Elephas maximus indicus: one gene and its partners. The protein of the gene in region 1 interacts with the protein of each later gene in a pairwise test. Links are inferred from orthologs where the notes say so. Each region holds a gene or a part of one and is shown in the gene's direction. Other genes may lie near its edges.

The links.
Region 2: the proteins of SDCBP2 (region 1) and TNP1 interact in binary tests that used the Homo sapiens proteins (3 or more experiments, as listed by UniProt). The two-hybrid records come from large-scale screens. The link is inferred for Elephas maximus indicus from reciprocal best matches to the Homo sapiens genes SDCBP2 and TNP1.
Region 3: the proteins of SDCBP2 (region 1) and EIF1AD interact in a two-hybrid assay, tested with the Homo sapiens proteins (3 studies listed by BioGRID and IntAct). The two-hybrid records come from large-scale screens. The link is inferred for Elephas maximus indicus from reciprocal best matches to the Homo sapiens genes SDCBP2 and EIF1AD.
Region 4: the proteins of SDCBP2 (region 1) and C2H1orf35 interact in binary tests that used the Homo sapiens proteins (3 or more experiments, as listed by UniProt). The two-hybrid records come from large-scale screens. The link is inferred for Elephas maximus indicus from reciprocal best matches to the Homo sapiens genes SDCBP2 and C1orf35.

What each region holds. Positions count from the first base shown.
Region 1 is NC_064843.1:39,398,531-39,407,212, reverse strand, and holds the start of SDCBP2 (syntenin-2), read left to right. Parts: upstream 1-5,041; 5' UTR 5,042-5,099; intron 5,100-8,073; exon of another isoform or gene 8,074-8,161; intron 8,162-8,682.
Region 2 is NC_064824.1:115,321,228-115,327,250, reverse strand, and holds TNP1 (spermatid nuclear transition protein 1), read left to right. Parts: upstream 1-4,629; coding exon 4,630-4,768; intron 4,769-4,935; coding exon 4,936-4,964; downstream 4,965-6,023. UniProt on the Homo sapiens protein: Plays a key role in the replacement of histones to protamine in the elongating spermatids of mammals.
Region 3 is NC_064825.1:129,139,556-129,147,625, reverse strand, and holds the start of EIF1AD (probable RNA-binding protein EIF1AD), read left to right. Parts: upstream 1-4,276; 5' UTR 4,277-4,568; intron 4,569-5,129; 5' UTR 5,130-5,213; coding exon 5,214-5,300; intron 5,301-5,436; coding exon 5,437-5,545; intron 5,546-5,641; coding exon 5,642-5,750; intron 5,751-5,921; coding exon 5,922-5,972; intron 5,973-7,378; coding exon 7,379-7,523; 3' UTR 7,524-8,070. Other genes in the region: BANF1 (barrier-to-autointegration factor), read right to left, coding at 2,320-2,466, 2,735-2,857.
Region 4 is NC_064820.1:232,585,421-232,593,613, forward strand, and holds the start of C2H1orf35 (multiple myeloma tumor-associated protein 2), read left to right. Parts: upstream 1-4,342; 5' UTR 4,343-4,351; coding exon 4,352-4,409; intron 4,410-4,530; coding exon 4,531-4,789; intron 4,790-4,894; coding exon 4,895-4,940; intron 4,941-5,069; coding exon 5,070-5,152; intron 5,153-5,406; coding exon 5,407-5,479; intron 5,480-5,701; coding exon 5,702-5,787; intron 5,788-7,043; coding exon 7,044-7,178; intron 7,179-7,523; coding exon 7,524-7,656; 3' UTR 7,657-8,193.

The sequences.
Region 1 (8,682 bases):
GATTCTCATTTAACAGATAGGGAGAGTGAAGCCCAGGAGGAACAGATGAAGCTGGCTCTCTGTCAGGCAAAGCTACCAGGTGGGGTGGGTTCCCACCTGGTTCTTCAAGCAGCCTTCAAAAGAGCAGCCAATGGAAGCAACCAAGGTGTCCATCAGTAGATGAATGGTTAAATAAATTATGGTACATTCACCCAATGGAATACTACGCATCGATAAAGAACAGTGACGAATCTGTGAAACATTTCATAACATGGAGGAACCTGGAAGGCATTATGCTGAGTGAAATTAGTCAGATGCAAAAGGACAAATACTGTATAAGACCACTATTATAAGTTCTTGAGAAAGAGTATAAACTGAGAAGAACACATTCTTTTGCGGTTACGAGACGGGGGAGGGAGGGAGGGTGGGAGAGGGTTATTTACTGATTAGTTAGTAGATAAGAACTACTTTAGGTGAAGGGAAGGACAATATTCAATACAGGGAAGGTCAGCTCAACTGGACTGGACCAAAAGCAAAGAAGTTTCCGGGATAAACTGAATGCTTCAAAGGTCAGCGGAGCAAGGGCGGGGGTTTGGGGACTATGGCCTAAGGGGATTTCTAAGTCAATTGGCATAATAAACTCTATTATGAAAACATTCTGCATCCCACTTTGAAGTGTGGCATCTGAGGTCTTAAATGCTAACAAGCGGCCATCTAAGATGCATCAATTGGTATCAACCCATCTGGATCAAAGGAGAATGAAGAACACCAAGGTCACACAATAACTACGAGCCCAAGACAGAAAGGGCCACATGAACTAGAGACTTACATCATCATGAGACCAGAAGAACTAGATGGTGCCCGGCTACAACTGATGACTGCCCTGACAGGGACACAACAGAGAACCCCTGAGGGAGCAGGAGAACAGTGGGATAGACCCCAAATTCTCATAAAAAGACCAGACTTAATGGTCTGACTGAGACTAGAAGAATCCCGGCAGTCATGGTCCCCAAACCTTCTGCTGGCCCAGAACAGGAACCATTCCCGAAGACAACTCATCAGACATGGAAGGGACTGGACAATGGGCTGGAGAGAGATGCTGATGAAGAGTGAGCTACTTGTATCAGGTGGACACTTGAGACTGTATTGGCATCTCCTGTCTGAAGGGGAGATGGGATGGTAGAGAGGGTTAGAAACTGGCAAAACGGTCACGAAAGGAGAGACTGGAAGAAGGGAGCGGGCTGACTCATTAAAGACTCATTAGGGGGAGAGTAAATGGGAGTATGTAGTAAGGTGTGTATAAGCTTATATGTGACAGAATGACTTGATTTGTAAACTTTCACTTAAAGCACAATAAAAATTATTTAAAAAAAAAAAAGAGCAGCCAAGATTGGGGTGCAGAGCAGGTGGGTGGGTGAGAGAAGCTGGGGGGAGGGGAAGATCCCAGCCCCAGACAAGTCCCTCCCCGCTCTGAACTTCAGCTTCTTCTATAAAATGTGGTAATAATAGCTGCCCTGCTTCTCTCCCGGGGCCCTGAGAGGTCGTTCTGCTCTGTCCTGGGAGGTGTGCAGGAGGCAGGGGACAGGAAAGTGGCCTGTCTGGTGGTGTGGGCAAGTCCCAGTCACCGGAACTAAGTGCAGTGAAGTGTGTCATGGTGGCCAGGAACTCTGGCTCCGGAGTCTGACAGGTTGGGGTTCAACTCTGTAACCTACCACTCACTGTCAGTGTGACCCTGGGCCTCGGCTTTCTCATCTGTAAACTGGGCATTATTATTGTAGGTAGGGATTGAAACTAACAGATGTCAATCACCTGGGGCCATGCCTGGCACATAGTAGGCCCTCAGCAACTGGTCTTCCACCACCCATTCCTGGTCAGAGTGGACATTTGCCACTCTTACTGGCTGCTCTGTTTTTGAACCCGCTTCTCATGTCTGGGGAATCCTCCACCAGAGGCTCCCAGTAGAGTAGCCCTTAAAGCCAAATGCTCGCTTTACCAGCATGCTTTGCAGTGAGGGCCTGCACACATGACCCATGCTCCACCAATCACAGCCCAATCTTTGCAGGAAGCCATGACCCAATCAGGCAGAGACCCAACCCATTCTGGAGGGCCTGGAGCCACCTGGGACAGAGCTCTGCAGGCCATGACCAGAGCCTGGAGCGTCAGCAGGATGACCAGTGTCTACCTGGGCCTCCAAGCCTCCAGGCCAGGTTGTCTGACTCTCCCAGGCTCTGGGGGCTCCCTGCTTGAGTGACCCACAGCCACAAACCCTGGCTGAACCCTCCCCAGGCCTGGATGCTGAGACACTCCTTGTAGGGGTGTCCTCTGAACTGATGACCTCTCACCCCACATTGCTCCCAGGTGTTTACATGCTTCTCCATGCCCGTGACCAAAAATTCTGGCTGGAGCAACCAACTTTCACCACGGAATTCCAAAACTAGACCCAGGCCTTGGACTAATGAGGGGGGCACAGGCCACATTTAGGGGAGATTACACATTTGCACAGGAGAAAGCAGGCAGGTTCTGGGTTCGAATCCCGCTTCCATGGGTTACCAGCTGCGTGATCTTGGACACAGAGCTTAAGTCTTTGAGCCTCAGTTTCTCATCTGTCCCATGGGATAACACAACCATCTTTTGGGTATGTTTTGAGTATTAAACAAGGTAAACGAGGAAAGCCTCTTGCCCCATGCCTAGCACCTTGCAGGCATTTGATTCAAGAAAGTGGGTCTGGAAGGAGGAGCTGGGCAGTTGTTCTCACACTGCAGTTTGCATCAGAATCATTTGCAGAGGCAAGTCAAATGCAGGTTCTTGGGCCCCACTCCCAGACAGCTGGATACAACAAGTGTAGGGTGGGACCCTGAATCTGCATTTTTAGCATGTCCCCCAGGGGCCTCTGCTGCAGGCGGCCGGGACAACCACACCTGGAGAAGCACAGGCTCCGAGGGGGAGGAGGACGGAGGTGGTGAGGGGCTGGCTGATGACCACTACATCACGGGGGTCTCTCCTCAGGGCAGCATCTCTGTGGCTGGGAGATTTACAGACTCCCTCAGGAACAGCCCAACTAGGATGTACGTCCCAGAAAGGAGCAGGCGATTTCTATCCGTTTGCTCTTGGATCACAGCAGTAACAGATTTTTTTTGCCACTTGAACAATGCCCGTTGTAAGAATAATAGTTCACATTTAGTGAGTATTCCCATGATCCAGGTGAAATTACTTTCCTCCTTTCACAGGTGAGGAAACTGAGGCCCAGGGCAGGAAAGTCGCTTGCCCAAGGTCACATGGCCTATGTGTGGGGATTTGGGCCCAGGCAGGTGAGACTCCGCAGCCCAGGCTCTACGCTGCCTCCCCTTCAGAATATTGCTTTGGGATACTATGGGGTGGCACAAAGTCCTCTTATGGTATGGGGTCTCTGGCGAGTGCCTGTGCTTCCGGGCCAGGGACATGAGTCTGTGGGAGTGTGGGGTCCCAGCTCCCTGGCTTCTGATTTTGGCTCATCAGGGCCTTCGCTGCCACCCTGGGAAATCTCTGGGACTCCGCTAGAGGGGGATGGGAAAGAGTCCGAGAGCCCAGACACTCCGATCAGTCCACAGCCAGGTCGGCTCTACCACTCCGGGGCTGTGTGGACTCGGGCAAGATGCTTCTGTCTGATTCCAGGGCCAGCTGGGAACAACAGACGGGTCAGGCTGTGCCCATTGCCCCGCAGAGCCCAGCAGGCATCAGGGGCCCGATAAATGGGGCTCTTCCTGTTATTATCCTGTGGTCCGGATGCAGCTGTCTGACACAGCCCTGGACTTGCTCCTGGTCCAGGTTCCACGCAGGGGGTTGGAGTGTATAGCTGGTGTCTCTCTGCTCAGCAGCCATTCCACCTTCTTCCGGTAAGAGCACCCCCACTTTCACATCAAACAGATGAATTGCGTTTCTGTAACTTGTAGCCAAGACTGATAGTATGAGGACGTCAGAAACATTATCGAGCACCAGCTGTGTCTTAGGTGCTTTACGTGATTCATTCGTTTAACCTCCAGGACAAGCCCGTACATCAGGTAGCAGCCGTCCCCTGTGGAGGTCTGGAAACTGAAGCTCAGAGAGGTTCCCAAACTTGTGGAATGTCACAGATCTGGAACTCTGCTCTGCCTACCACCACAGCCTAGCCCAGCTTTTACATAAGGGTGAGCTTACTTTGGACATGTCATCAGGAGGGATCAATCACTGGAGGAGGACATCATGTTGGGTGATGTAGAGGACCAGCAAGGGTGGGGGAGACCCTCGGTGAGATGGATTGGCACAGTAGCTGCAACGATGGCCTTAAACTTGCCAATGACTGTGAAGATGATGCAGGACCAGGCACAATTTTGCTCTGTTACTGCTTTGTTACTTATCTGTTGTACACAGAGTGGCCAGGAGTCGAAGCCAACTCAGTGGCAGCTATCCATTACATTTATAACTATGATGGACTCTTCTAGCAGAGGCATTCATTCAATAGACATTACTGAGAGCCTACATGTGCCGGTCACGGATCTAGGTCCTAGGGATACATGGTAAACCCAAGGCCCTGCCCTGCTGGGGGGAACCATTCGAGATGGCACAGAGATTTCATAGCACGGGCTGACTCCAGGTGGCAGCAGCTGCCTGTGGCATTATTGTGAGAGGATTCTGGGCCACCTCAGGGCCCAGCAGCAAGTAATGTTGGGTGGATACTCAGGTCTGTCATGGGTGCTGTTAGGGAGTTTCTGAGTGTATGTTGTATGGTGGCCACTCATGTTTTAGACTTTTGAAGGCTGTTCCACAGATAAGTAACAAAGCAGAATATGTCCTGCCCAGAGCACGGGCTCCAATTTTTATTTTGGAAATAGGCTAAAAAAAAAAAAAAATTTTTTTTTTTTTTTTTTTAGCCACTATAGACGTCCCTGGGTGGTACAAATGGTTAAGCGCTTGACTACTAACCAAAAGGTTGAAGGTTCCAATGAAGGTTCTAACCTACCCAGAAGCACTCGGAAGAAAGGCCTGGTGATCCGCTTCCAAAAGGTCTCAGCCACTGAAATCCCTACGGAGCGCAGCTCTGTGTACACACATGGGGTCACCATGAGTTGGAATTGACTCAATGGCAACTGGGTTTTTTTTGGATGGTAAGGAACTTTTTTTTTTTTAAGGAACTTAGGGTGTAACAATTAGCCTAATGTACACATGAACAATACAAGATGGCTGTATCAAAGAAAGGAATGGGACAGTCTGATCCAGAACACAGAAGCGGGAGAGGTCCCATGGATGGGAATGATCAAGGAGGCTCCTTGGAAGGGGAGCCCAGTGGACTTGGTGGGGTAGGGATGAGGAAACGCACCTCAGGGGAGGCAGCAGCCCAGGCAAAGGTGGAGTCAGGAATGCGTGTGCTGTGGGTACGAGGTGGGGTAGGAGTAGGGAGGACTCTGGCCTGGCAGGGGTAGAGATGTTAGAGGGACAAGGTTGAAGAGGTAATAAAGGGGTGGACCACAGAGGCCTCAAAGGTCAGGTCTAGGAGTTTAGTATTGGCCCTGAAGCAGTAGGGAGCCATTAAAGACTTCTGAGCAAGGGCATGTGCAATGAAAGATGTTTCTTGGTGGCTGGAGTGATGAGAGAAGTCAAAGAGATGGGCCGTAGCTATAAAAACCACAGAATAGAAAGATAGCCCTGGCATGTAGGTGAGAGTTGGGGGACTTGGGTCAGTTCCACAGGCAAGTCCCTTATCCCCTCTGGGCCTACATTTCCTTCTCCATTTTCTCTAAAGGCCCTTCCAGCCCATGGCTCTATGAACTGAGATGGGGCAAGGGGGCCACTTGGTTCCATTAGGTTCTCTATTTCCTTCTTTGCTTTGGCCTTGGAGACTTGGCCTAAGGTGGGTCCATCACCCATGGTCTACCCAGGGCTTCAAACCAGTTCCTTCCAGTCAGAACCCCTGCTGAGAATTTGCATTTCTAATAAGTTTCTAGGCAATGCTAACGCTGCTGGCTAGGGACCAACTCTGAGAACCACTAGTAGAGCAGCGGTTCTCAAAATTTATTATACGTAAAAATCACCTGGGGATCTTGCTAAAATGTAGATTCTCATTCAGTATATCTACGGTGGGAATGCAAATTCTCAGCAGGGATTTGAACCAAAATGAACCAGTTCGAAGCCCTGGACCTACCTCAGGCTTCAGGCCCATTTGCCTTTGTCCCTCAGGCGTGTCCCGTGCCTCAGCTTTTGGAAGTAGCATCTGTCTCACAGCAGACAAAACATGGCCTTGGGGCCATTTTCCAGCTGTGTAACTTGAGAGAGGGACTTTGCCTCTCTGTGCCTCAGTTTCTCCACCTGTAGGACTGGTGCTAATCACACCTACTTGGCAGGGATGGTACCTTTAAAGCTGCTGCCGGCAGGCTCATGGTGCTCTGTGGGCAGTCGGTGCTGCTAGTGGCAACCTCCTGTTGTGTGTCGTGGCTCCTGTTGTTTCGTGTGTGGGGCTCTCAGCTGTGAGCTCCTCAGAGCAAAGACAGTGTCCCTCCTCCATGGGGCTGACAACCAGCTGGGCCCCGGTCAGGATCTGACGCCCCAGGCGAGTGTAATTCTGCCCAAGCTCGTCATGGGGACAGTGACGTGGGCCTGCCAGGCCCAGCCAGGTGAACAGCCCTGAAACTTACCCCACCCTGGGCGGGTGGCCTGTGTCACTCCTCACAGGACTGACCAGCATACGTTTCCCTAGTCCCTCCCCAAGGCACCAAGTGTGACAGGCACCTTATCTAACCCACCCCACCAGGGTCTAAATGAAATCCCTCTCCCTTTTCTGGTTAATTTTATGGAACTATTTGTGGGATAAATAATATATTCAAATTTTTTATTTTTCAAAATTTGAGAAAGTGTGCTATAAAAAATCTCCTTACGCCAGTACACAGCCCCTTAGGTTGCCTCCCTGGAGAGAAGCAATCTAAATTCCTTTAAAAAGCAGTCCAGTTTAATTTCTCCCCCTACTCATTACAAAAATGATAAGCAATCAAAGCAATACACAAATTAACTTCAACACCACCACCACTTGGGAACACACACAAAAGTACAAACTGGAAACCCCACCGACAACCCCACTGCCTCAGCATTTTACAGCAGACTCCCCCAGACTGGTTTCAGTGCACATCCGCTTTTCAAAAAAGGAAAACAAAACACAAGGCCAGACTCCCAGTACGGACTCTTCAGTCAGTTAACAGTACTCGGGAACATCTCCTCAAGGCTTCTTCCTTAAACAACTTTAACAGCTGTGGGATTGTCCTAGATAATGACTTCTTTAACTGGACCCTGGTGATGGATGTTTGGGATTTCCAGATTTTTTTCTACTATAGGGAACATGGAGATGGGTTTGTGGAAGAAGAAATGCCAGGTCACATGTTACGGTCACTTTAAAGACCCCTGGATACCTGTCACCTAACCACCTTCCCCACTCTCAGCAAGACTGGTCTTCAACTCAAGTCTGGATCTCCTCAAGAAAACAACACTTACATTAAAAAAAAAAAAAAATCAAGATGGAAAGGATTGATATAGATGAACCCTCGAGAGGATCACCCAGAAATGCCCTTTAAACTTGGAACTCAAACCACTCCCAAAAGTCATCTTTCACTCAAATGACAGACTGGCCCATAAAATACGTAATATCACCGATGTGTACTGTGCTTCTCAAAACAATCGTTTAGATGAAACCACATGGTGAACATTTACCCGGACCAAGATGAGAAGGCAAAGGGAGGGGCAGGGCGGCTAGATTAATGGAAACATGACAAGCAAAATGGAAATGAGGATGCTGATCTATTGTGAAGAATATAACAAACGTCACTGAACAATATGTATAGAAACTGTTAAATGAGAACCTAATTTCTGTGTAAACTTTCACTAAAAACACACGAAAAAAAAAAAAGACCAAGAAGTCTTGGTACATACCTGTCTCAGCAATAGCTACGTGCACTAACCCCACCTCCAAATTGAGAGAAAGGTCAAACCCCTTCTGCCTTTCCTGGGTGGCCAGCCATTCTACCATGAGTCAGCTGATCAGGGGCGGGCACCACCCTGCTCTTAGCTAGCAATTAGCCAGCAGGAACTCCAGCTGGGACAACAAGAGCCACCACCTTGCTGGGGGGAAGAATACTCTCAGCAGTTGCTGGAGGACAGAGGACGTGCGGCAACACCTGGCCTGCAGGTAAGACTGGGGCCCTGCCCCTATACTGGCTGGGGCTAGGATGAGTGAGATGTGCTCTGGTCTCCTTCCCTCCCTGCGTCTTCCCTTCTGGGATTTCCCAAGCAGATTCCTCTCAAGGTGCTTTGCCCTTGGTCAGGTTTGAGAGACGAGCGGTCTTCTCTCAGATATCATGCAGTCATGACATCATAAGACCCCAGGCTCCTCTCACTGACCATGACAGTGCTGGAGGAAGTGGGCCCTCTGAAGGCCAGGGCTGCAGTCCGACAGAGAGCTTATTTCCACAAGGCTCTGGTACTTCCTTCTTGGCCCTAAGCTGGTTCTATCAACAGCTGCCCTACTAACAAGGAAAAACCTCCTGGGGAACTGGGCCAGTGCTTTATCTCTTAAGGATGGTTTCCTCATCTGGAGACGGGAAAACTCCTATAGTCGAGAGAGCTGAATGAGCCAACGGACATGATGGGCCGGTGCTGCCCTCCACATGGCAGGGGCTCGGAAAAAGTGCTTAAAACAAGTCTGCTCCA
Region 2 (6,023 bases), on another chromosome or scaffold:
GTAAGTGATGACTTGGGCAGGCAAAGGAAAGGAAGTAGTAATTTTTCAGACGTCCAAATTGAACAACTAAACTTTCGTTAAAATCTTCAGGTAGGTAAGGTCAATGTGTGGTGTATTTAGTAGTAAAAAAGTGTTGATTGCTATAATGTGATTGTAGAACATAGAGAATGTGATCATAATTCATGTTTTCATCCCAAGATGTTTAAATTTGGCCAAGAGACCTCAAAATTTACACCCTTCCTCTAAGTAAAACTTACTACCTCTTCCCAGATCTCCTTGTCCCTTATGTATCAGATTCTGTATATGACCCTAACAGCACACATGTGAGAAAAAAGGCAAATAGAACTGAACATAAGGCCAGATTTACTTTGAAGTTAAGCAGGAAAGGCAATGTGGAGCAGTGGGCAGACTTGGGACTGGAGATCAAGAGTCCTACCTCCAAGCTCTGGCACTTCTACTGCCTGGATACAGTTTCTTAGATAAGGCTCTTCACTTCCCACCCTCACAAGAGCAGGGCAAGGTGGCCTCTGAGGAACATCTCTTGCCACCATTCTTGTGATGTATTTCCCATCTGGCACCCACCCATTCTCTCTGCTCCCGAAATACAGGAGCTGTTCATGGAAAGTCTGCTTGGGTACACTGTCAGAAAGGATGGGAGAGGAGCCTAGTGTAAAAATGGGAAAGAACCCCAACAAATCTTCAGGCAGAACCCAGACCATCCTCAGAGCCAAGATGGTCTCTGTGTTTCCAAGAACTGGATGGGAAAGGGCAAATGGAGTTGAAGTACCTCCTTCATTTTCCTCTGAAAACCACCCTTTGGCCTTGGTCTCTGGCCTCTCTTTATTCCCTGCTGGAGACACCAGATGGGTCCTGAGCTAAGAGAGCTCCGCCCTCAGTGAGGCCCCTCTCTCTGCAGCTTTCTCCTTCTCCAGCCTGTCCCTGAGCCCTCTTGGCCTGCCCAAGCTGCAGCAGCAGCAACAACAGTATAGAAGACAGGGCGTGCATGTGAACAGGGTAGAAGGTCTCCACTTCCCAGCAGAGGTCAACATCTGGAGAGACTTAGATTTCAGAGAGGGATTGAGACTGAGTCATCGACATGTGTAAGGACTGTCAGCAACTTTTCAATGTTCCCTCTTAATGAGCCCCAATTCCCAGCCGGCTGGAAAGATCCAGCCCTGTGAAGACTTCCATTGGACTCCCCAGGAAAACTGATGGAGCAAGTTTGAAATGGGGAGGTGAGATGGGACCCAAATAGAGGTTTGACTTCCAGAGCAGTAACACCCTAAGCCTGTCCCTCCCTAACCTAAGAAAGGGGCCAGTGGGAGTACTGGCACCCAAGGCGTTCCCTGCGGTGCCATTTCGTCCATCCTTCTAGAAGATAAAAACACCATTCTGTCCATCTGCCTGTCTCCAGGCAAGATAATTCTCAGCCCCAAGAGAGAAAGGGTGATTGCTTCTTTTCTAAAAAAGCTAGAAATTCAGTTACGTCTCTCCATGTTCCAACAGCTATCAGAAAAATATCCACTTCCTTTCGTCAAGAGAACCACAAGCTAATAGAGAAACCAAGGTGTGGAGGAAGCAGGTTTATTGGGCCATCTCTACTACTGGGTTATTTGAAGTAGCTGAAGCCGTTGGGTGGCACAGACAGTTAACCACTCCGCTACTAACCAAATTCACCCAGTTCAAATTCACCCAGAGGAGCTTCAGAAGAAAGCTGCTGATCTACTTCTAAAAGGTCACAGCCTTGAAAACCCTACAGAGAGCAATTCTACTCTGCATAATGGAGTTGCCATGAGTCGGAATCGACTTGACAGCAACCGGTGACTGGTTAATGCAGCCTTTCTGTGCCTCAGTTTCCTCATCCAAAAAAAGAGAGAAAGAGGAGAAAACGAGAGAGTCAGAAGGCCTAGTTCAGGGTCCCCTAAAAGTCGAGAATGAGCTCACTGTGCTCTGTCTAAATTGCAGCTGGCTCATGCCACACAGGGGCAGAAACGGAAAGAGAAACAGACAGCAATGCCCAACACTCAATCCCGTTCTGTCCTCGCTGCAGGAGGTCTGATACAGAAGCCAACCCAAACACCCCCCCAAAACCCCACCCTTGTCTGCCCTGCAAATCACCTCCTCTCTCCACCCCTCACAATGGGCTTTCTCAGCATATGTGTCTGAAACAGAGCTACTCCTTAACTAGTGGCGTCACTAGGGTTGGCGTCACCCAGTGCGGTAACGCATGGTATTACTCCCCCCTCTCATGCTAATCACCACAATACTGTAGCTAAAACACCAGAAAATCTCACAAAATCAGCGACTATAAAAACATTGGAGTAACAAAAACAACAGCATGTGCTTGTAGCGTGTACAGAGAAAATCACATGATTTGAAGCGTCATTGCAGTTGGGTAATAATGACAGCTCTGACCAGAGCACATTAGAAAGCTCAAAAAGTAAATGAGCATAGAATTTTAGCCTTGTAGGTATATTGATACATGTAAGCTGGGCTTATGGGAAAAAATTTTGTTGTTATAACTAAATACAGGAATATTTTATAAAAAATAATAAATTTTTGCTAAACACTGCACAAAAATTTTATAGTCATTTTTGTGTCACCCCCCGACAGTCACCTGGTCTGGTCCACACCGCCTGCACCCGCTATTGACGCTACTGTCCTTAACCCTATGCAAGGCGGGGGGGGCTTTTTTTTGTTTCTTCATCAGTTCTCAAGTCTGGCTGATTTCTTCTCTGTGATCTCAGCTTCAACTTGGCAGAGCAGGTCTTTTAGGGGTGGGAAGGATTGGGGAGAGAGAAATATTATCCCATCTCTAAAACCATCCAGAAATGTCTCTTAAAAGCCAAAGAGGCCAGTTTCTCGGCAAGTTTTTTGGCTATCAGACTCAGGCATGAGAGGAGAGCACAAAGCACCAGAGGGCCTATTCTGGAGTGTTATGGATTGAACTATGTCCCCCCAAAAATATGTGTATTGTTTTGGCTGGGCCATGATTCCCGGTATTGTGTGATTTTCCTATATGTTGTAAATCCTGCCTCTAAGATATTAATGAGGGAGGATGGGAGGAAGTTGTGTTAGTGAGGCAGGACTCAGTCTATAAGACTGGATTGTGTCTTGAGGCAATTTCTTGAGATATAAAAGAGCGAAGCGAGCAGAGAGACAGGGGGACCTCATACCACCAAGAAAGCAATGTGGGGAGCAGAACGAGTCCTTTGGACCCGGAGTCCCTGCGCAGACAGGCTCCTAGTCTGGAGGAAGATTGATGAGAAGGCTGACAGAGAGAGAAAGCTTTCCCCTGGAGCTGACACCCGGAGTTTGAACTTTGAGCCTACTTTACTGTGAGAAAATAAACTTCTCTTTGTTAAAGCCATCTGCTTGTGGTATTTCTGTTATAGCAGCGCTACATAACTAAGACATGGAGATAATGTCTTTTTTTTCTCTTTCCTGCTTAGATACTCTCCCACTTCGTGTGCAGAGCGGTCCTGATGTGCTAGACTATCTGTCCTTATAATACTAAAGCAGCTGGAATGAACAAATGCTTACTGGTCACCTCCTATGGATTGTGCTAGCACCTGTGGGGAATGAAGTAGGAATAAAAGACACAGTCCCTGACTGCAAGGAGGCTCCTGCAAAAGTCAGATAATCTCAGAGATCACCTAACCCAACTTGCTTACTTAAGAAATAAGGAGCTAAAGTCTGAAGAAGTGATGTTTGTGGTGCATCAGATTTAGAAACAAGAAGCTCAGCCTCCTGCCTGGGGAGATGAGACACACACATGAAATAGCAATGGAAGGTTCCAGACAGTTTAGCACAATTGGGGTTGGTTATATAGACGTTGAAGTCCCTGGGTGGCACCAACAGTTAAGTGTTCATCTACTAACTAAAGGTTGGTGGTTCGAACCCACCCAGAGGCTCCTCAGAAGAAAGACTGTGATCTGTTTCCAAAAGGTCACAGCCTTTGAAAAGCCCTATGGAGCAGTTCTACTTTGACACACATAGGGCTAAATAAGTCAGAAATGACTAGACCGCAACTGGTTGATGGTATCCAGACTTTGAGGCCAATTATAATATTGGGAAAATGAACTTTAAGCAAATTTCAATTTCAAAGGACAACGAAAATTTGAAAAGCTCAGGAAGCCTTCCTTGGAGAGGAGGAGTAAAATGGGAAGGAACAGGAGATTTTATTTTGGCATTTCCTGGAGACAAGTCTTAATAGAAGCATACTTCTGTTATCTCCAAATGCTATACGAGAGACTTAAACACACATATATGCACATGCTCAATGACCGTTAAATTTCCTACAGGTAGGAGATAGGTACTTGATCAGCCTCTTGCACTCCTCAGATGCCTGGTACAGGGCTGGGATTTGTTGCTCAGTAACACTTGTCTGAAGGGAGAGCCTCATCTAACATAAAAAGGGCCTCAAAATTGAGAGTAGGCCTGGCCTGCATTAAAGGGCCACCTTATTTCACATATATGACCAAAGTGTAACAAAGGCTAGTGACCTCACCATGGAGCCCCACCCTCCTGCTAAGCCACGCCTCCTCACAGTCACAATGGCTAAGGCCTTAAATACCCAGACTCCTGGCCTCTGGCTTTGCAAAGCCCCTCATTTTGGCAGAAATTACAATGTCGACCAGCCGCAAATTAAAGAGTCATGGCATGAGGAGGGGCAAGAATCGATCTCCCCACAAGGGGGTCAAGAGAGGTAGCAGCAAAAGGAAATACCGGAAGGGCAGCCTGAAGAGTAGAAAAAGAGGCGATGATGGTGAGTGAGGGATAAGTAGGGGCACAAGCAAACAAGATGCTTGTTGTTCCAGGGATCTTCCTTCCTGGGGTTAGTCCTCCTATGACCCTGAAGTCTCTTCATCTGGGCATGAAAGGTATTTCATTTCTAATCAGTGGTCCCTGTTGCAAATCTGTCCTTCCCCACAGCCAATCGCAATTACCGCTCTCACTTGTGATCCCACCAGTGGGCTCTGCCCTGGTGGACGGCAAACACCACCAGGCAGCAGTGAGAAGACAGCAGAGGGGGACTGCCAAGGAGACCTGCTGGAGTTCAATCAAAGCCAGTGAAGATCCTATCGCACGGGGGTAAAATGCCAGCTGTGATGAAATGAGGAATGTATATGTTGGCTGTTTCTCCCCAACATCTCAATAAAATTTTGAAAGCTGGAAAGTTTACTTTGATCTTTTGGTTGGAAAGCTGGGGTTCCTGAGCTAGAGAGACTTGCATGTTAAATGACTTGGAGAATATCAAAGTACTTTGTCCTTACTACTCCCTCCCATTGTACCTCAACTCCATATTTAGGTCTTTGTTTCCCTCGCCAACAAGGAAAAGGGAGAAGAGATTAAGTGCCAATTATGAGATTCTTGTCAAAGGGCGTATAGTACGGGGAGAGACACCAAACTATGTGGTAAGCAGTGGAGAACACTCAATAGAACCACTAATGATTGCATAGGCTCGGTTGGCTGGCTGAGATGGGGAGACAAGGCCATGATGATAGAGACAGGCTTTAGGGGCTTTAGTTCATTTTGGTAGTTATGTTGGTATTATAGATTTTTTTTTTTTAATATAACACTTTCTACTAATACTTTTTCTACTAATTCTTTCTCCTAATACTTTCTTTTCTGCTACTCAAATTCAAAACCAGATAATTTGACTCTGATGCCCTAAATGAACTCTAGCCAGGTGTGCTGGAAGTAAGCACAATCTGGGTGAACCTTATTGATCACCAGGTCTATTGCTGGCTCCACTCATTTAGAAAATTCCTAAGCTCTCCCATATCTTAACCTGGGTTGTGATATGGCTGATAGTCTCAGGCCACATTAACTGACACTTCCACTCAGCATTCACCCACTCAGACAGGGGGACATTTTTCTTAATGACTACTTCCTGTTGCTATGCTGAAGCAGTACACCAGCATAGCACAGGTGGAATTGAGCTTGAGACATGAAGAGACATGAATGGGAACATGAAGCAACATGAATGGGAACATGAAGCAACAGTGAGGGTGTGAGAG
Region 3 (8,070 bases), on another chromosome or scaffold:
GCCTTGGATGGCCACTTGCAAGCTTTTAAGACCCCAGGGACTATGCGATGAATGAGGTAAAACAGAAGCACTGAACGCATCATTAAGCCAATTAACTGTGACATCCCATGAAACTATGACCCTAAACCTCCAGGCAAAGAACTGAATCCCATGAGGTGTCTGGTTGTACGTAAGCTGCCTCGGTAGCTACTCTTTTTCTTTTTGTCATTGTTGTAAATATTATCTATTACACTTCTGCCAATTCAACTTATTGACAGCAATTACGTTAATCAACTGTGTAATCCTACCTTAATCAATGCAATTGATTAAGCTCAGTACTCAGCTTTTACTGTATCTTTTGATGAACAGAAAGTCCCTGGCTGGTGCAGTTAATGTGCTCGGCTGCTAACTGAAAGGTTGAAGGTTTGAGTCCACCCAGAGGTACCCTGGAAGAAAAGCCTTGGCAACCTACTTCTGAAAAAGCTGCCATTGAAATCTTACACAGACGGTCCTTCGGTGGTGCAGATGGTTTGTACTCGGCTGGTAACCAAAAGGTTGGTGGTTTAAACCCACTCCATGGCACCGCAGAAGAAACAGGCCTAGCGATCTGCTTCAGTAAAGATTACAGCCAAGAAAACTCTACGGAACAGTTCTACTCTGTGACACATGGGGTCTCCCAAGTCACAAATCGACAACAAAATTCTATGGAGCACAGTTCTGCTCTAACACGAGGTTGCCATGAGTTGGAATCAACTTGACAGCAACTGGTTGGCTGGCTGATGAACAGAAGTTTCTAATGGAGTTGAATTTATCAACTTTTTCTTCTTTTAGAAATTCATCTCTACTCTGAGATCATAAACATCTCATATTATGTTTTTGTACTTGTCTTTAATAACTATCATTCTCTCCTCCCCAGACTACAAGCCCTATGAGGAATAATTTTATTTATAATGCAAGCAAGTAGCTCCCCAATGGTGCTGAATGCCAAGCAGGGCCAAGCACTACACAGTAGTGCTAGCGTTTCATTAGATTCTCACAATCACCCCATTTTCTAAGTGCGGAAGTTGAGGCTCAGAGAAGCCAAGCAACATGACTGAGAACCACAATGTTCCCAGGTACACAGGTTTTCAAGCTGGAGTTCCAGTCTGGCTACTTCGTAGTAGCAAGTCCACAGACAAAAAAACCTCTCTTAACCAGATTTCCTCATCTGTAGAAAACAATTAATGATCGTTGTGAAAAAATAAATACTTGTGAGGATCTTAGCTTTGAACCTGGTATATACTAAACCAAAAAAAAAAAAAAACCAAACCCACTGTCGAGTCAATTCCAACTCATAGCGACCCTACAGGACAGAGGAGAGCTGCCCCATAGTTTCCAAGGAGCGCCTAGTGGATTTGAACTGCTGACCTTTTGGTTAGCACTGTAGCACTTAACCACTACGCCACCACAGTTTCTGATATGTACTAAATGTTCGACAAAGGACAGGAATTAAATATACTGAATAAAAGTGTAACTCACTCTCTCCTGGCTGTAATATTCACACTACGTGCCCCTCCCCGCCGCCCTGCAGACAGCACGCAGATGGCAAGAGCACTGCCCACTTCTCCTGGAGGCTAGGGAAGGACATGACCACAAGTGAGCTCACACCCACATCTGGCCCACCTTCTTCCGACCACCTGACTCCCACTGACTTTTCCACCAGGTGCTGCTTGGTCCGGCTGTTGATTCCACCATGGGGAGCCAGAGCCAGTCTGGCTCCCAGGAAAGGATCAGCCTGCACTCTCTCCCACATTGATTGAGACACTCCACGGCACCTGCCGAGGCCCACAAGGCTGGGGTGGCTGCCCTCTGGGAGTGGGAAGGCAAGTTTCGGTCTGTGCTGATAAGGAGCACAGGATGCCTGCTGGGTCCCCAAGGAAGAGGCCACTCCCAGCCCACTTCTCAACACACAAAGCCCAAACCTGAAGGCCACTGACTTTATTGATTTAAAAAACTTTACAAGGACAGTGACTATTCTGCCAAAAAAGAGCCAAATGGCATAAAAACAGACCAGATGTGAGGGTGAGAGTGAAGGAAGGGGCCAAGAATCCACTCAGGAAAGCTGGTAACTATCGCCATGGAACTGGCAGAGGGAGGAGGAGGATGGGGAATTCATGCAAAAGTGAGAATTCCAAAAAAGTTGAAATGGTGATGGGACAAAACTCCTAAAAGATTCTGGAGCACGTTGGAGGTGAGCCTGACAACAGCAATCTTTTCCTTGTAGAGGACAGGGGAGGAGTCGCCACTCAGCTGCAAACTCTGGAGACTCAGGGCTGGGGACTGGGGGCTCCCAAGACAGCATCACAAGAAGGCGTCGCACCACTCTCGAAGGCACCCAAAGCAGTCCCGAGACTGCTTGGCATTGGCGCCGCACGTGTCCTTGAGCCATTCCCGGAAGAGGTCTTCATCCTTCTTTAGTACCAGAAACTGGCCAAGGACCACATACGCCTGCAAAACAGGCAAAGCAAAGGGCATGCCACAAAGTGCATTGTGGGGTTAAGAAAGCCACCTTTGAGGTATTCAAAGCACATAAGCCCAGGAGGCAGAATGAGTTTGCCTGCTTCACCTCCACCAGGTGACCAACTTCAGCTGTCTCTTAAATTATACTCCACTCTCCACCCCCCAACAAGTACATTCACTTTCCTCACTCCATCTGCCAGAAAATAAATGGACTCCCACCTCCAGCCCCCCCAGGCAACATGCGGCCACCCCACACCTTGTCAAAGCCCCTTTCCTCCAGCTTCTTGCCCAGGACTTCACCAATCCCGGCCAGGCTCCCCACTGGCTTTTCCCCCATGGGCTCTGCCACGAAGTCTCGGTGCTTTTGGGAAGTTGTCATCTTGATCAGGCTTAATCTGGGAATCCCAACAAAAAGCAGGTTAGGGCTGAAGACCTGGAAACTCCCTAGAGGCCACTAGTAGTCCCATATGACAAGGGAGCTAGGCCAGCCAGTAGGGTAGCTTACTGAATCCCCTTCATTTCACAGATGAGAAAACTGAGACCCGGGGAGAGTCTTTTCTCCACAAGGATAGTCTCCGACTTAGAATGCAATCCCATTACCACGAACTGCACTTACAATCTTTCCTTATTTTTTAAAAATATATATTTTAACATCAATAATATGTACTACAAAGCTCCCACAGGTAAATTGTGCTGTTATCATTCCCGGGTGTTCACTCGCAGTTGTGCAATTTTATGATTTTACTGTTCAAAACACAAAAACTTAAAAAGAATTAAAAAAAAAAAAAACAGGTATCCAACTTCCATCAGAACCGATTTAGGACGGAGTCAGCAGAACGAACCCCGTCGTAGATCGGGGACCTCCTGCACGCAAAAGAGAACTCTTTTACTTCCTGCAGAAGCCGGGTTTTGGTTTTGGTTTGGAGAGGGAAAACTCTCCTGCCCTAACAGGTGGCAGAGCGCTGGCAAATGGGAAGATTCCCAGAGTCAGTAGCCAGGGCACGCCCCGCGGCTGTCACTCCCTCTGTGACCTTCGCTGGGCAAAAGCTGACCCCGGCTAAGAGGCCACCTGGTCTGAAAAGCAGACGAATGGTCTCTGTGCTCCACCCGCACGCCACGGCTGCTTACGGAGCGAAGGCACAGGCAGAGAGCGCCCGGAGCCGTCTTCCCGCCGGCCGGGTCGCGCTGGCTTCCAGCCGCGCTCGCTCCTGCCGCCCCGCCCCTGCACGCGCCGCGTTCCCACGCGCAGCGCAACGCCGCGCCCCGCCTCCTCCACGCGGCGGGCGGACTCCTCTCGGGGGGCTCACCCTTAGCCTCCCACCGCGCTTTCGTGACCTCTCTCCTCCCTGCTGTCCCGCGCCTCCTCTAGCCTCTCGCCGGGCCCTGCTCCGCAGCTCGCGCTCACTGGCAACTCACACGTAACGGCTCCTCTCGCCACCCGGCCGCTCCCGCCGCTACCCCAACAACTAGAACTTTCTTCGACTTCCGCTTCCGGCTCGCCTCAAGAGCCGTCTTCTAAAACCCAAGTTGGGCACTTCTAGCCTCTAAGCGCCATAGAGATGAGGCATTTCGGTCCTCGACCGCGCCCTTAGGGGCGCTCTTTTCCGGTAGCTTCGCGGGAAGCGGGCTGCCTTCTATGGTCTCACTTCTCAGGCGGCCCTTCCGGTCTCGGAGCAGAGGCCGCGGAGGAGAAAACTTCCCTTCCCGGCTGCCCGGCCCCGGAACTCAAGGACTTAGCCCCGGCCGACCTGGCGGTGGGAAGAGTTAGAGGGACGGACAAAGTGGCGGGGGGGGGGGGGAAGAGTAGCCGTGTGGCTTCCGAGAGCGCGCCGGAAGTACAGTTCTCGGACGGGTCTGACTGAGCCTGGCCTTGTTCGTAGCGCTGTCGGGCTGGTAGGAATCGGGAGGGACCCCAGAGCACCGAAGAGCTGAGTCGGGGCCAGCGCCACCATCGTGACCGCCAGAAAATCCCTTTTCCGTGCCTTCGTTGGCTCTTCTGCGAAGTGAGTCGTGGAGGAGCCGCTCTCAGCGTCCGACCTGTAGAGCGGGGTCGCTCGGCTAGCGCCCGTGGGAGAGTCGAGGGCCGGAAGGTGAGTGTGGTTTCCTGGGGTAGGGGAGAGAGGAGGGCAGGGGGTGGCAGTTAGGGGTGACGCTTTAGACTTTGGAAACCATCACTCTTGGTTACTGGCTTGGACCATCGCGGTGGGCTCCTAATTAGCCTCTGCGTGTAGTGTGTGGAGAGATTATAAACTGAGCTTCTGTGTTGCCGTGGCTGTGCTAGACTTGTGACGTCCAAGCTTGTCGAAGTTACAGTTTTGTACTTGAAGAAACGGTTTTAGAGTATGTAAAAAAGTAAAAGTACGTATAGTTGTATAATTATAATTTCTCAGATATTTACGATAACAAGAGCGTTTTTGAGCGCTTACGGCATTTCAGTGTGCCAAGTGCGTAACTTACATTGTCTCATACTGTTAACAGTGCTCCGAGTTAGGTGTTTTGTTTTGTTCAGCAAGCCCTAAAAAGGTTGAACAGCTGAGAAGTAGTCAAGGTAGGATTTGAGTCCAGGCAGTTAGCCTTCGGAGCCCATGTTCTTAACCAGGACACTGTGTGGCTCGCTCTTCAGTAAGAGGCCATTCCCATTTACAAAACAGTCCTGGGCTCTGAGCCTGCATTCCGAGGAACTCAGGAGAAGTTGACAGTCTCTGCGTCCCTCACGCCCGAGGACGGAACCCAGCATGTCTCAGGCCACCAAGAGGAAGCATGTGGTGAAGGAGTTGCTGGGGGAGCACATGGTGCCCTCAGACCAGCAGCAGATTGTGAGGGTGAGTGGCATGGGGCACAATTTGCTCTATTTCCCACCCCCATTGGACCTCTGGGGTCCAGGTAGGGTGTGGTGCAGCTCAGAGGGCCCTTGATCTGATGATGAGACAGACTGGTTCTCCCTTGCCCCTGAACCAGGTACTCAGGACCCCAGGGAACAATCTGCATGAGGTGGAGACGGCCCAGGGGCAACGCTTCCTGGTGAGCATGCCCTCCAAGTACCGAAAGAACATCTGGATCAAGCGAGGTGAGGGGGGGTCCCCTCGGAGACAACCATTTACCATGGCCTTGGCTTCCTGCCTGCACCAGGACTGACCTGGTCTTTCCTCCTGTTTCCCTACAGGGGACTTCCTCATCGTTGACCCCATTGAGGAGGGAGAGAAGGTGAAGGCGGAGATCTCCTTTGTGCTCTGCAAGGACCACGTGCGCTCTCTGCAGAAGGAGGGGCTCTGGTAGGGCGCTCCCCTTCATTGTTGGCTCCCTGGCCTCTGGGCGGATGGACTTTGTATCCTTGTAATTGGGGAAGGGAAGATCATGGCATCCCAGGCAGAGACTGCTGGAAACAGTGCTTTTGCCAAGAGACTTATTAGTTTTCTCTGACCCTGTTTTTTCTTTTGGCGCAGGCCTGAGGCCTTCTCTGAAGTGGCTGAGAAACACAACAACAGCAGGAACAGGTGAGGAACAAGCTTTGAGATAAGTAGACGAATAATTTCTTACATAAGGATCAGTACAAAGCTGGTTCCTCTGAGGCAGAGACTAAAGATGCCCCAAGTGTCTAACTTTTCTAAACTGCTGTCCTAGTCCGTTTTTTCTAATGTCATTTACTTTTTTTTTTGTCAGTTCTCTTTTTCCAGTTTTTGGGTTCCCTAGTTTACTGCAACATCTCACAGAAGTCAAAAACCTGTATAAAGGAAGTGACTCATGTGGTTATGGAGACTGGCAGGTTCCAAATCCACGGGTCAGGCATAGGGTTCTCCCAACTCACATGGCTATAGGGGCTGATGAACCCAAACCAGCATTTCAGACCACAGGCTTTTGGCTCACAAGGCTGTAGAAGCTGGTGAATCAAGTCAGATGATAGGCTGCAGGCCCGTGGGGCTATAGAGGCTGGCGAATCTCAGAATCACCAGGCTTGAGTCTGAAGAACTGGGAGTCAGTCGATCACAAACTGGACGCTGGATCCAGATAGAGAGCCCCACCAGGGCATCTACATATACACCTTAGATGCAGGTGACACCCTAGGGAAGGTGGTAGCTTGAGTAAGGGTGGGACTTGAGTCACGCCCTCCTGCAAGGCTGCAACCAGAGACACTCCAGTCCTGTCTCGTAAACATGTAGAGGTCAGCATCCACGACACTTAAGATGGAGGACAACCATACAATACTGGGAATCATGGCTTAGCCAAGTTGACACATAACTCTGACCATCATTGGTTCCATATATTTTATTTGCATGGATTCACTGTCTTTATGTGTGAGTTATAAACATCATGGGTAGAAGGGCTACATGAAGTAATTCATTACGTCACAAGAGGGAAGACAGAAAGTAGGGGTCCAAGCCCTGGTGTCAGGCTTTCCTTTGTCACTACACAGGGTTTCTGGTAAGGGTTCTTTAATATGTGATATAACACGTGTGTGTAAGGGTGGATTAGAAGATTGATCAGGTTCGAATCTTGGTTTTTGCCATTTAGAGCAGAGTGCTATTAAGCAATTTACTTAATCTCTCAATTCTCACCTGTCTTCTCAACAAAATGGGAGCTTAGTGCTTATAAAACTGCTTAGTGTGGTATGTGATGTGGGCTCAAGGAGTGTTAGTTGGTGGTGGTAGAATCGTTGTTCTTAACTAAAATGAGTGGGTCTAGTAAAGTTGGGGGTGGCTGGCAGTCTTCAGCCTGTTTCTTTGGCCAAGTTTTCAACTGCTCTGATTCTGTGCCTCATTTTAGTCTTTAAGGGGTTGTTGAATTTTGGCAGGCCTGTAGGGCCCTGACTGCTTGGCCAAATGATCCTTCTTTTTGTGGGGCCCCTTGGTTGCAGATCTGGTTTTCCCAGAAGGCATTGGGCTAACTCTCTTCTCCCATGCAGACAGACTCAGCCAGAACTCCCAGCTGAGCCCCAGTCATCAGGAGACGAGTCCAGCTCTGAAGACGATTCTGACCTCTTTGTTAACACCAACCGCAGACAGTATCATGAAAGCGAAGAGGAGAGCAAGGAGGAGGAGGCAGCCTGAGACCCTGGGCCCACCTCTCCACTAGCTCAGAGACTAGTCCCTGGCTCCCCTGGGCTCAGACATTCCCAGGGTGCCCTGCAGCTCTTCCCCCCTGGATGGGGACAAGGCAGGGCCCCTCTCTGAACAGACTTTCCTGACCGACAGGAGAATTAAACCCCTGGTGGGTGATGACTTGTGTTGGTGTCCGTGTGGCTCTTTGGGAGAGGATGGACATGTGAAGTAAAAAACGGCATGCTCTTTGGTGGAAGTCTCATGGGCCAGTGGCCGAATGGCAGGGAAACGGGGACTGGCTGGACTCTTCCCCCAGGTGGTTTGAGTTCTTTCTTTTTGCATCGTTGAATGCTTAGGAAGTGCCTGGCCCTGTGCTGTGTCTCCTTGCATGTGTTTGATGATTAGGAGTAGCCCCACCTCATTGCCTGCTTGCAGTTAATCCCTTTGGAAGCAGTCAGGGTCACAGCCCTGGAACCTAGGGTCCACCTGCCTCCAGGAGACACTCAGGACAAATCCCGCAATGCCTCAGGAGCCGCAGTCCCGGCCTTTTATGGTC
Region 4 (8,193 bases), on another chromosome or scaffold:
GCCTCACAGGCCACTGGCATGGCTGGGACGTGGAGATGGCCATCTGTCAGAGGTTGCCCTGCGGTCTGCTGTGCCTGAATGTAGCTGCCTTCCCGCGAGGTGGCCACGTGTAGAAGGTGGCTGAGGAGAGTGCCCAGCCAACAAGCTGCTCACTTGCCATCTGACGAGGCTGCTGCTTTCACCACTCTACCTCTTCCCAACCCTCCTGTTCCTCCATCGCCTCCATGAGGAGACACACCAATAGCCACAGCTTTTGTCCCCATAATGGGCCTCTCAGACCCCTCACTGCAGCGAGTCCCCGTCTCAGTGTCGGCAGGGCTCCCTGACCATCTCCATCCCTGACCTTTGCAGCCAGACTCTACATGGGCTGTGTCCACTTGCTGTCCTGCTGCTTTCTTCAGACTTTCAGCCCAATCCCTCTGACACTGCTCTTGCCAGGGTCACAGGCAACCTCCGCATTGCTCAGCCCAAAGGTCAGTTCGCAGCCCTCATCTCCACAGGGCAGCCCCTCGGTTATCTTACCCAGTCTCTGAGCTTCTAAAGCTCTCTGCACTGGCAACTCCCAAATGTGCATCTGCAGCCTGGGCCCCCGCCTTGCACCCTTCCCCGCTCAGCACCTCTTCGAGGAGGTAGAGGCCACCTCTGGCTCACTGGTCTGCCCTGAGTCCCTTCTCATCAGGGGCAGCTCATCCTCACAGCGGCTCAGCCCACTGCAGGGGAACCATCCTTGGCTGTCATCCCACATCTGTCTACCAGCAAACCTAGACCTTCGGCACACCCCACATCTTGTCCATTATCCATTTTCAAACCCTACAGCTCTGCCTTCATGATACGTCCAGTGCCTGCCACAGCCCTACCCCATATCCACGCCTACCCCTGGTCTTCCCCAGTGTCACCCGAGGCCCACCACAGCCCTGTTCCACATCCACGCCTGCCCCTGGTCTTCGTACCTGTCAACCGGGGCCCACCACAGCCCGGTTCCACATCCATGCCTGCCCCTGGTCTTCCCTGCTGTCACCTGGGGCCCACCACAGCCCTGCTCACATCCACTCCTGCTGTCTGGTCTTCTGCACTGTCACCCGGGGCCCACCAAGGTGGCCTCCTCCCCAGGCTCCTTGCTTCCATCCAATGCCTCCAGCATGTTCTTCACGCCTGCCAGCAGGAGCCTTTCCCTGTGGGTCACCACGTACTCCTGTTCCCTCTCACTCTGGAGGAAAGCCCTAGTCCCTGCTATGGCCTTGGGTCCTGCACCATCACCTTACCACCAAGCATCCTTGCTGTTTCTCACTGTAGCCTCTGCGTGCAATCCTCTTCCTGCCTGCTGGCTCCCCGTCCTCCCTTCCAGCTCTCTGCTCAGACTTGGTCCACAGCACTTCTTATCCCCTGGGTGACAGTATGTATTTACACGTGTGGTGTGTCTCCAGCACCTGGCACAGTGCATGAGAGGTGCTCAATAGGCATTCACTGAATGAACGAATGAGTGAATGAAAGAAAAAGGGGCTGAGGCTGCACATGTCGAACTGACCTGGGCCCTGAGTGCAAAAACTGGGCTTGTTGGAATCCGCTGGGTACCTATTTTTCATATAACATTATTGAATATAATGCAAGAAAAGATGTATTTACATGTATAGGAAATAAGCCAAGTGGACCAATCCTGCATGTCAGCTCTCCAGTCGTTCACACAGTGAACAGAGCCAGTGCATGGCAGCACCTCACACCCCTGTCCTCCTGCCCCTCTGACCCCAGGGTTACCACTGCTGACATCTGACAGCATGAGTCAATTCCAGCGGCTCAGACGAATATGACCAGGTCCAACTGTGCTGCAGACAGGCCACTCGAGAGGAAGGGGTGGCAATAGGTGAGCCGGGAGAGGGACAGTCAGGGCTTCCACACCGGCGGGCAGTGATGCTGTCTGAACGGGAGCCTTGGAGAGGGGCATGCCGGTGGTATTAGATACATGGTGTTGAAGGTGGAGAGGCCCCGGGGCAGGTCTGCTGTTGCAGGGACTTGTCTGATGCCACCAGAGTGGAAAGGGCCGCCAGGGACAGTGGCATAGTGGCATATCAGGAGAACAGCTTAGGGGAGAGTTGGCTTTCTCTGGGCCACGCATGAGGAAACAAAGGCCCAAAGGTGATCTGGCAGTAGTACAAGGCGGACCATCAGTATCTCTAACTCTTACTGTATTACACAGGGAGACCCCAAAATTAAAGGGCAAGCAAGGATGTCTGAGAAGGTGAGGCCAGAGAAGTAGGAAGGGCGGCTTGGAGCAGGGTGAAACAGTCTGGTAGCCTCTCATAACTGCACATTCCTTCCCCAGCCTTATTGTGCCTGTGATGTCACAAATTGCACAACTGAGTCCATCACCCAGTGCCGTCGAGTTGATTCTGACTCATAGCGACCCTATAGGACAGAGTAGAGAACTGCCCCGTTGAGTTCCCAAGGAGCGCCTGGCGGATTTGAACTGCCAACCCTTTGGTTAGCAGCCGTAGCGCTTAACCACTGTGCCACCATGGTTTTCTGAGCCCATCAAGCTCCTGATTAATTGGTGGCGTAATGACCGGGACTCACTGGGAAACCCACAAATGTTTAATGACTGACAAGGGGCAGGAGTAGGTTGTGCGCATGTGGATGGATGGGCGTGGATGTCTGCATGTGTCTAGGTGCACAGCGTACTCTGCACTTACTGATACCAAGGACGTGCAGCACACAGTTTACAAATAGCAACGACGCAACGATACTCGTTACCGTAAATTCCGTACAACTACCTGATTCTCAGAATACTTTTGTTGGTTGTCACCAAACTCTTGTATACACAGCCAACCTATGGTTTTAATTCCACCACAATTTGGCAAATAAAGTAGCGTCCTAATCCCCTAAATGTGTTATCATTGAATCTCATATGTCACCTACCGTTAAACTATGGTGATCAATGAGATGTTTTACACAGAAATATTTTTAAATGATTGTTTTCATTCTGCTGTTGACAGTTGCAACTAATGATTTTACAGTTCCAAATGAAGATTTTTAGGAATATTTTCCAACAGCTTTGTAGTTACTTCAGATTTTCTTCTCAGCATTGCCCCATCAGAACAAAATACAATGAGGTTTGTTTTTGAATATTCATTATTAAAGCCACAGTAATTGATGGTAAACCATAGTGTACTGAAACCATAATCCACTGTGGTGGATACCAGCTCTTTTAAAGCAACAAATAAGCTGACTGGCGGAGGCAGGCACTGGCCGAACTGGGCACTGGAGTGTAGTCACGAAATGCCTGGTGGTTCAAGTACCACGTCTGCCGTTCCCTTCTATGATACCTTTAATTATCTTCATCTTAATTCTTGTGATTTGTCCTGTTACTCTTGCTCTACTGAACAGCTGACCTTTCCAGTTCTCTTGAAATCTTATTGCCCCTCAATGCCAGGTAAAGCCTATTATGTTTTACTAAACCATGAACCGTATTAAAAACTTCTATGGTAGCATCAGTATTTTATTTAGTTTATACGCTAAACTGGGAATTGAACCATTTATTTTACAAATCTTGAACTTTAGCATGGGTTTTAGAAACAAAATATTCCTTACCTCTTTGTTCGCAGAGAACCTGCCTAGTGCCTACTGCCATTTGGAGTTACCAGGTAAATGCCACACGCTTTTCCCTGTCACTCTTAAATGCTGAATGGTTGCACAATTCTTACGGCCTAATTTACCTTATTGGATTTCAAGCCGCTGATGTATTTCTGTAAGCATAAATGCTTGCTTTTTATTCCAGCCATCTGGACGTCCAAGATTATTTCTTCCTTTGAATAGCACGATGATTTTTCTCCAGAGATGGGCTGTCCACCAGATTAGATGTGGCAGTCTGCTTCTGTAACGAATACACCCTTGGAAACCCTATGGGATAGTCCTGCTCTGTCCTACAGGGTCGCTATGAGTTAGAATCGACTAAGCGGCAGTGTTTTTTTCTTATTACCTTCTGTCACTGTTTTCACCTTTTTCACGTTAAAAAAACTTATATCGCTGTCATTTTGGCATCTTAGGGATCAGATTCTGAAATACAATTTTTGTGTTATTAGCTGGCGGTCAAGCCTCCCGGCCACCCCATGCTACAGAGCAGAACTGCTTCACAGGATTTTCTTGGCTGTAATCTTCACGCAGCCGTGGTGACACAACAGTTAAGCGCTCGGCTGCTAACGGAAAGGCTAGCGGTTCTAACCCCCGCAGCGGGGAGAAAGACCCCAGCGCCGTGCGTACACAGAACAGCCGAGCTGCCCCCTGGCGCTGGGGGCGGGACCTGGCGCGGGTGATGACGTCGCCGCGCGCGACGCGAGGGGCGGAGCCGACGGCGGTGCGGATGGCGTCACCGCGCGCGGCGCGGGGGCGTACGCTCGCAGGAGCTGCCGCGGCGGCCAGTGAGGGCGGGCGGCGGGCCCGGGCGGGCTGGGCGAGCGCGGGCTGGGCGGCCTTGGACTTGGCCTGGGGCTTGGAGGGACTGGCCAAGCGCGGACCTCTCTGTCCTCCCGTCGCCCGCAGCAGCCGCCGGCACCATGTTCGGCTCCAGTCGAGGCGGCGTCCGCGGCGGCCAGGACCAGTTCAACTGGGAAGACGTGAAAACCGACAAGCAGCGGGAGAACTACCTGGGGAACTCGCTGATGGCCCCCGTGGGCCGGTGGCAGAAGGGCCGGGACCTCACCTGGTACGCCAAGGACCGCGCCGGCCCGGTGGGGCTGAGCCGCGAGGAGGAGCTGGCGGCCGTGCGGCAGGCGGAGCAGGAGGCCCTCATGGCAGCCCTGTGAGTGGCCGTGCGGGCCGAGGGTGCAGGCGCCCCGAGGGCTGGGAGGCCCGGGGTGGGATGGGGGACCGGCCCCTCCTGAAGCGTGCCTTGGCCCCGTTGCAGAGGCTACAAGAATGTGAAGAAACAGCCCACAGGCCTGAGCAAGGAGGTAACGGGCCGAGGGGCCCCGGGCCGAGGGAGGTTCGGGCAGTGTCGGGTCTGAGGTCGGCAGGGTGGCCTGGGCGGGGTGGGAGGCGGCTCTGGGGCCTGCGAGGACCTTGCCTTTCTCTCCCCACAGGACTTTGTCGAGATCTGTAAGCGGGAAGGAGCAGACCCTGAGGACAAGGGTGTGGACCGGCTCCTGGGGCTGGGGAGCTCCAGGTGCGGGGACAGGGGTGAACTCTTAGGGGTCCTCCTGGCGACGGGGTCTGTCAGGACTGGGACTTGCAGATTAAGGACCTGAGGGAGATGTCAGGGATCCGCAAGTCCCAGAGAAATCGAGGGCAGGGCTCCTCCCCGTGGGCCCTGCCAGGTGCCCAGGTGAAGCAAGTGCAGCAGGGCTGCAGGGCCTCCTGACTGGGGCGCAGCTCGGCCTTCTTCCCACAGACGCATTCCCTCCTCGTGTGTTCTTACAGTGGCTCCGCCGGCCGAGTGGTGTTGTCCAGAGAAGACAAGGAGGCTGCCAAGCTGGGGCTGTCGGTGTTCACAGTAATGTCCCCTCCCCCAGAACACACCAGGAGCCCATGCTGGCAAGATGGGAGGGGCCTGGCTTCCCCTGGTGCTGTGGGCCTGAGGCAGGGTCCTCTCCTCTCTGGGGGCATTCCCAGTCTCCTGACTTGAGAAACCTGGGCTTGGATGGCCTGGAAGCATCTCAGGGTTGTCCAGGCCTTCTCCTGAGTCCTCACCTGTGGCACTGGCTTCCCTTGGCAGCACCAACGAGTGGAGAGCAGTGGGGCAGAGACCTCCCCAGCCTCAGCCAGAAAGAAGCTGCACTCTGAGGAGAAGGCGGAGCCGTGGTAAGGGCCTCGCTTACGCAGGGTCCACAGGCAGCATACCCACACTGCGGGATGCTGGGTTTAATTTCATACTTAAAATTTAATTTTAAGAATTTCCATATTTGGGGCCAGGCCACTTTAAGCCACACCCCAGAGGCTCCAGAGCAGAAGTTTGAGTAGCACAGAATTGAAGTTTCTCTTCGCACATCTGGTTGCTAGGAAATTCTGAGCCAGATGGGCAGGCTGCCTGCTTGCGGTAGAGTGGAGGACGTGGCTTTTGCCCCTTCCCATGTTTTCTCGTTGCCTCCTATTTTGTCATCTTGGGAACCCTCTGAGTTGTTCCCGGATGAGAAGGTCAAGTTGCAGGCATACTCAGTGTGGTCCTGGAACGGCCCTCCAGCTCCAGCAGAGTCAGGTGGCCACTCTGGCACGAGGGCCGAGGCTGAGTCCTGGCCAGGGAGGGCCCGTGCACCCAGCCCAGAGGTGAGAAAGGGCCCATAGGTCCGGCAAGGAGTCGTGTGTGGCAGCAAGATGCTCAGAGTCCATGTAGAGAGTGCAGTGGAGACAGGCTGAAGGCAGGTTTGAGGCCAGGTGGTAGTGAAGGCCCTGTACTGCCAGGCTGCACTCTCGTGCCTGCTGTGTGCCAGGCAGTGCCGGGCCGGGCTGCACAGGGTGGTCAGCAGACCTGCACTCAGGCAGCTTGGAAGGGGGGCTGGGTGTGTGTGGGATGCGGAGTGGGGTGAGGGTGCCCAGGGCTATACTTAGTGGGCCAGTGTACTGTGCCATGACGGGTATGTTCCTGCCTGCACTGTCCACAGTGGAGCTGCTGTTCATGGAGACTTGAGAACTTGAAATGTGGCCGGTATGACCAAGGCACTGAATTTCTCATTGCTTTCACTTAGTTGGAAACCCTGGTGGCGTAGTGGTTAAGTGCTACAGCTGCTAACCAAAGGGTTGGAATTCAAATCCGCCAGGCGCTCTTTGGAAACTCTATGGTGTAGTTCTACTCTGTCCTATAGGGTCGCTATGAGTCGGAATCGACTGGACAGCACTGGGTTTGGTTCACTTAGTTAATTTAAATCAAAGTAGCCACACATGGGCAGTGGTTAACTTTGTGGACAGCACAGGTGTAGGCCCCTCTCCCTGTGGCAGCCCTGTTCTGGAGGGCTCTGTCTCACCCACTGCTGTTCACCGGGCCCCCTCCCGCCTGGCACAGAGCAGAGCTGTGGAAGCAAGGGCTAGGGCTAGGGCTGAGGGGTCTTGTGCCCCTCTTGCAGCTCTGAGAGCCACAAGAAAAGCAAGAAAGAAAAGAAGAAGAAGAAGAAAAAGAAGAAACACAAGAAAGAGAAGAAGAAAGAAAAGCACCACAAGACAGAGGTGGCTGCTTCTTCCATGTCCCCGTCTCCTGCTAGGTAGGCCCAGCTGTCAGCAGAGGTCTTGTGAGGGGTGGGGGGCCCCTAGAACAAGGGTCAGGCTGCAGAGGACGGGGTCGTGGCATGCCCACAGTCACACGGCAGCATGGAGACCTTCTTTGTGCCTGGGGGCCACATGGTGCCCACAGTGGTCGGCACAGACACCATCTTCTCGCAGCCTGACTGGGCCGAGGGTCCGGCTGTGCCTGGGAGCTGCATGGTGCCCACAGCAGTCAGCACAGGCACCTTCTCCCAGCCTGGCTGGGCCGAGGGTTTGGTGGACTGGTTGCTGTGCTGGCCCTGGTGCACAGCCCCTCACCGGGCCATCCCCTGGCCCTCCCCTAGGCACAGCCGCCAGCATGACTCAGGTTCCTCGGCCAGCGACCACTCCTCCCCCTGCTGCAAAAGGAGGAAGTGGGGACATGGCGTATGCAGCGGGAGGAGCCCCCAGGCCCGGAGACGGCATGATACAGACTGACGCCTGAGCCGAGTGCAGCTGCTGACTGACCGCCCTGGGCCCCAAGGCCCGCCTCAGCCCACTCACTGCTTGGCTGTGACTGTGACAAGTGGGCTCCTGGTGGACACCTCTTCACCACCACAGGGAAACGCCTCTCCTCTGGGGTGAGGCTGGAGCCAACCCTTCCCCTTGGAATGGCACAGCCCCATTTCAGCCTGGGGAGCGGAGGGTGGAAGAGGCTTGCTTTGTGAGTCACATCAAGGTTTTGGGATTGCGATCTGATGAGCGAGTCTATCCAGGCCAGGGCAACCCTGAGTCCAGCAGGTTCTGAGGGGCTCAGGAGCCCTGTCCCCACCGCTGGCCTTGCTGTGATGGCCCAGGCCTGCCCAGGTGACCAGCCTGTCCCAGATCCCCTGGCAGACCATACTCCCTCCTCTGGCCTCTGCCCTCCACAGCGGCTCCCAGGTCTCCCAAGTTTGCTGTAGCAAGTACAGTTACTATTTTCCTTTACCTGGGTTTCCTTTTGGTTTAAATAAATTTATTTTAAAAAAAGGTATG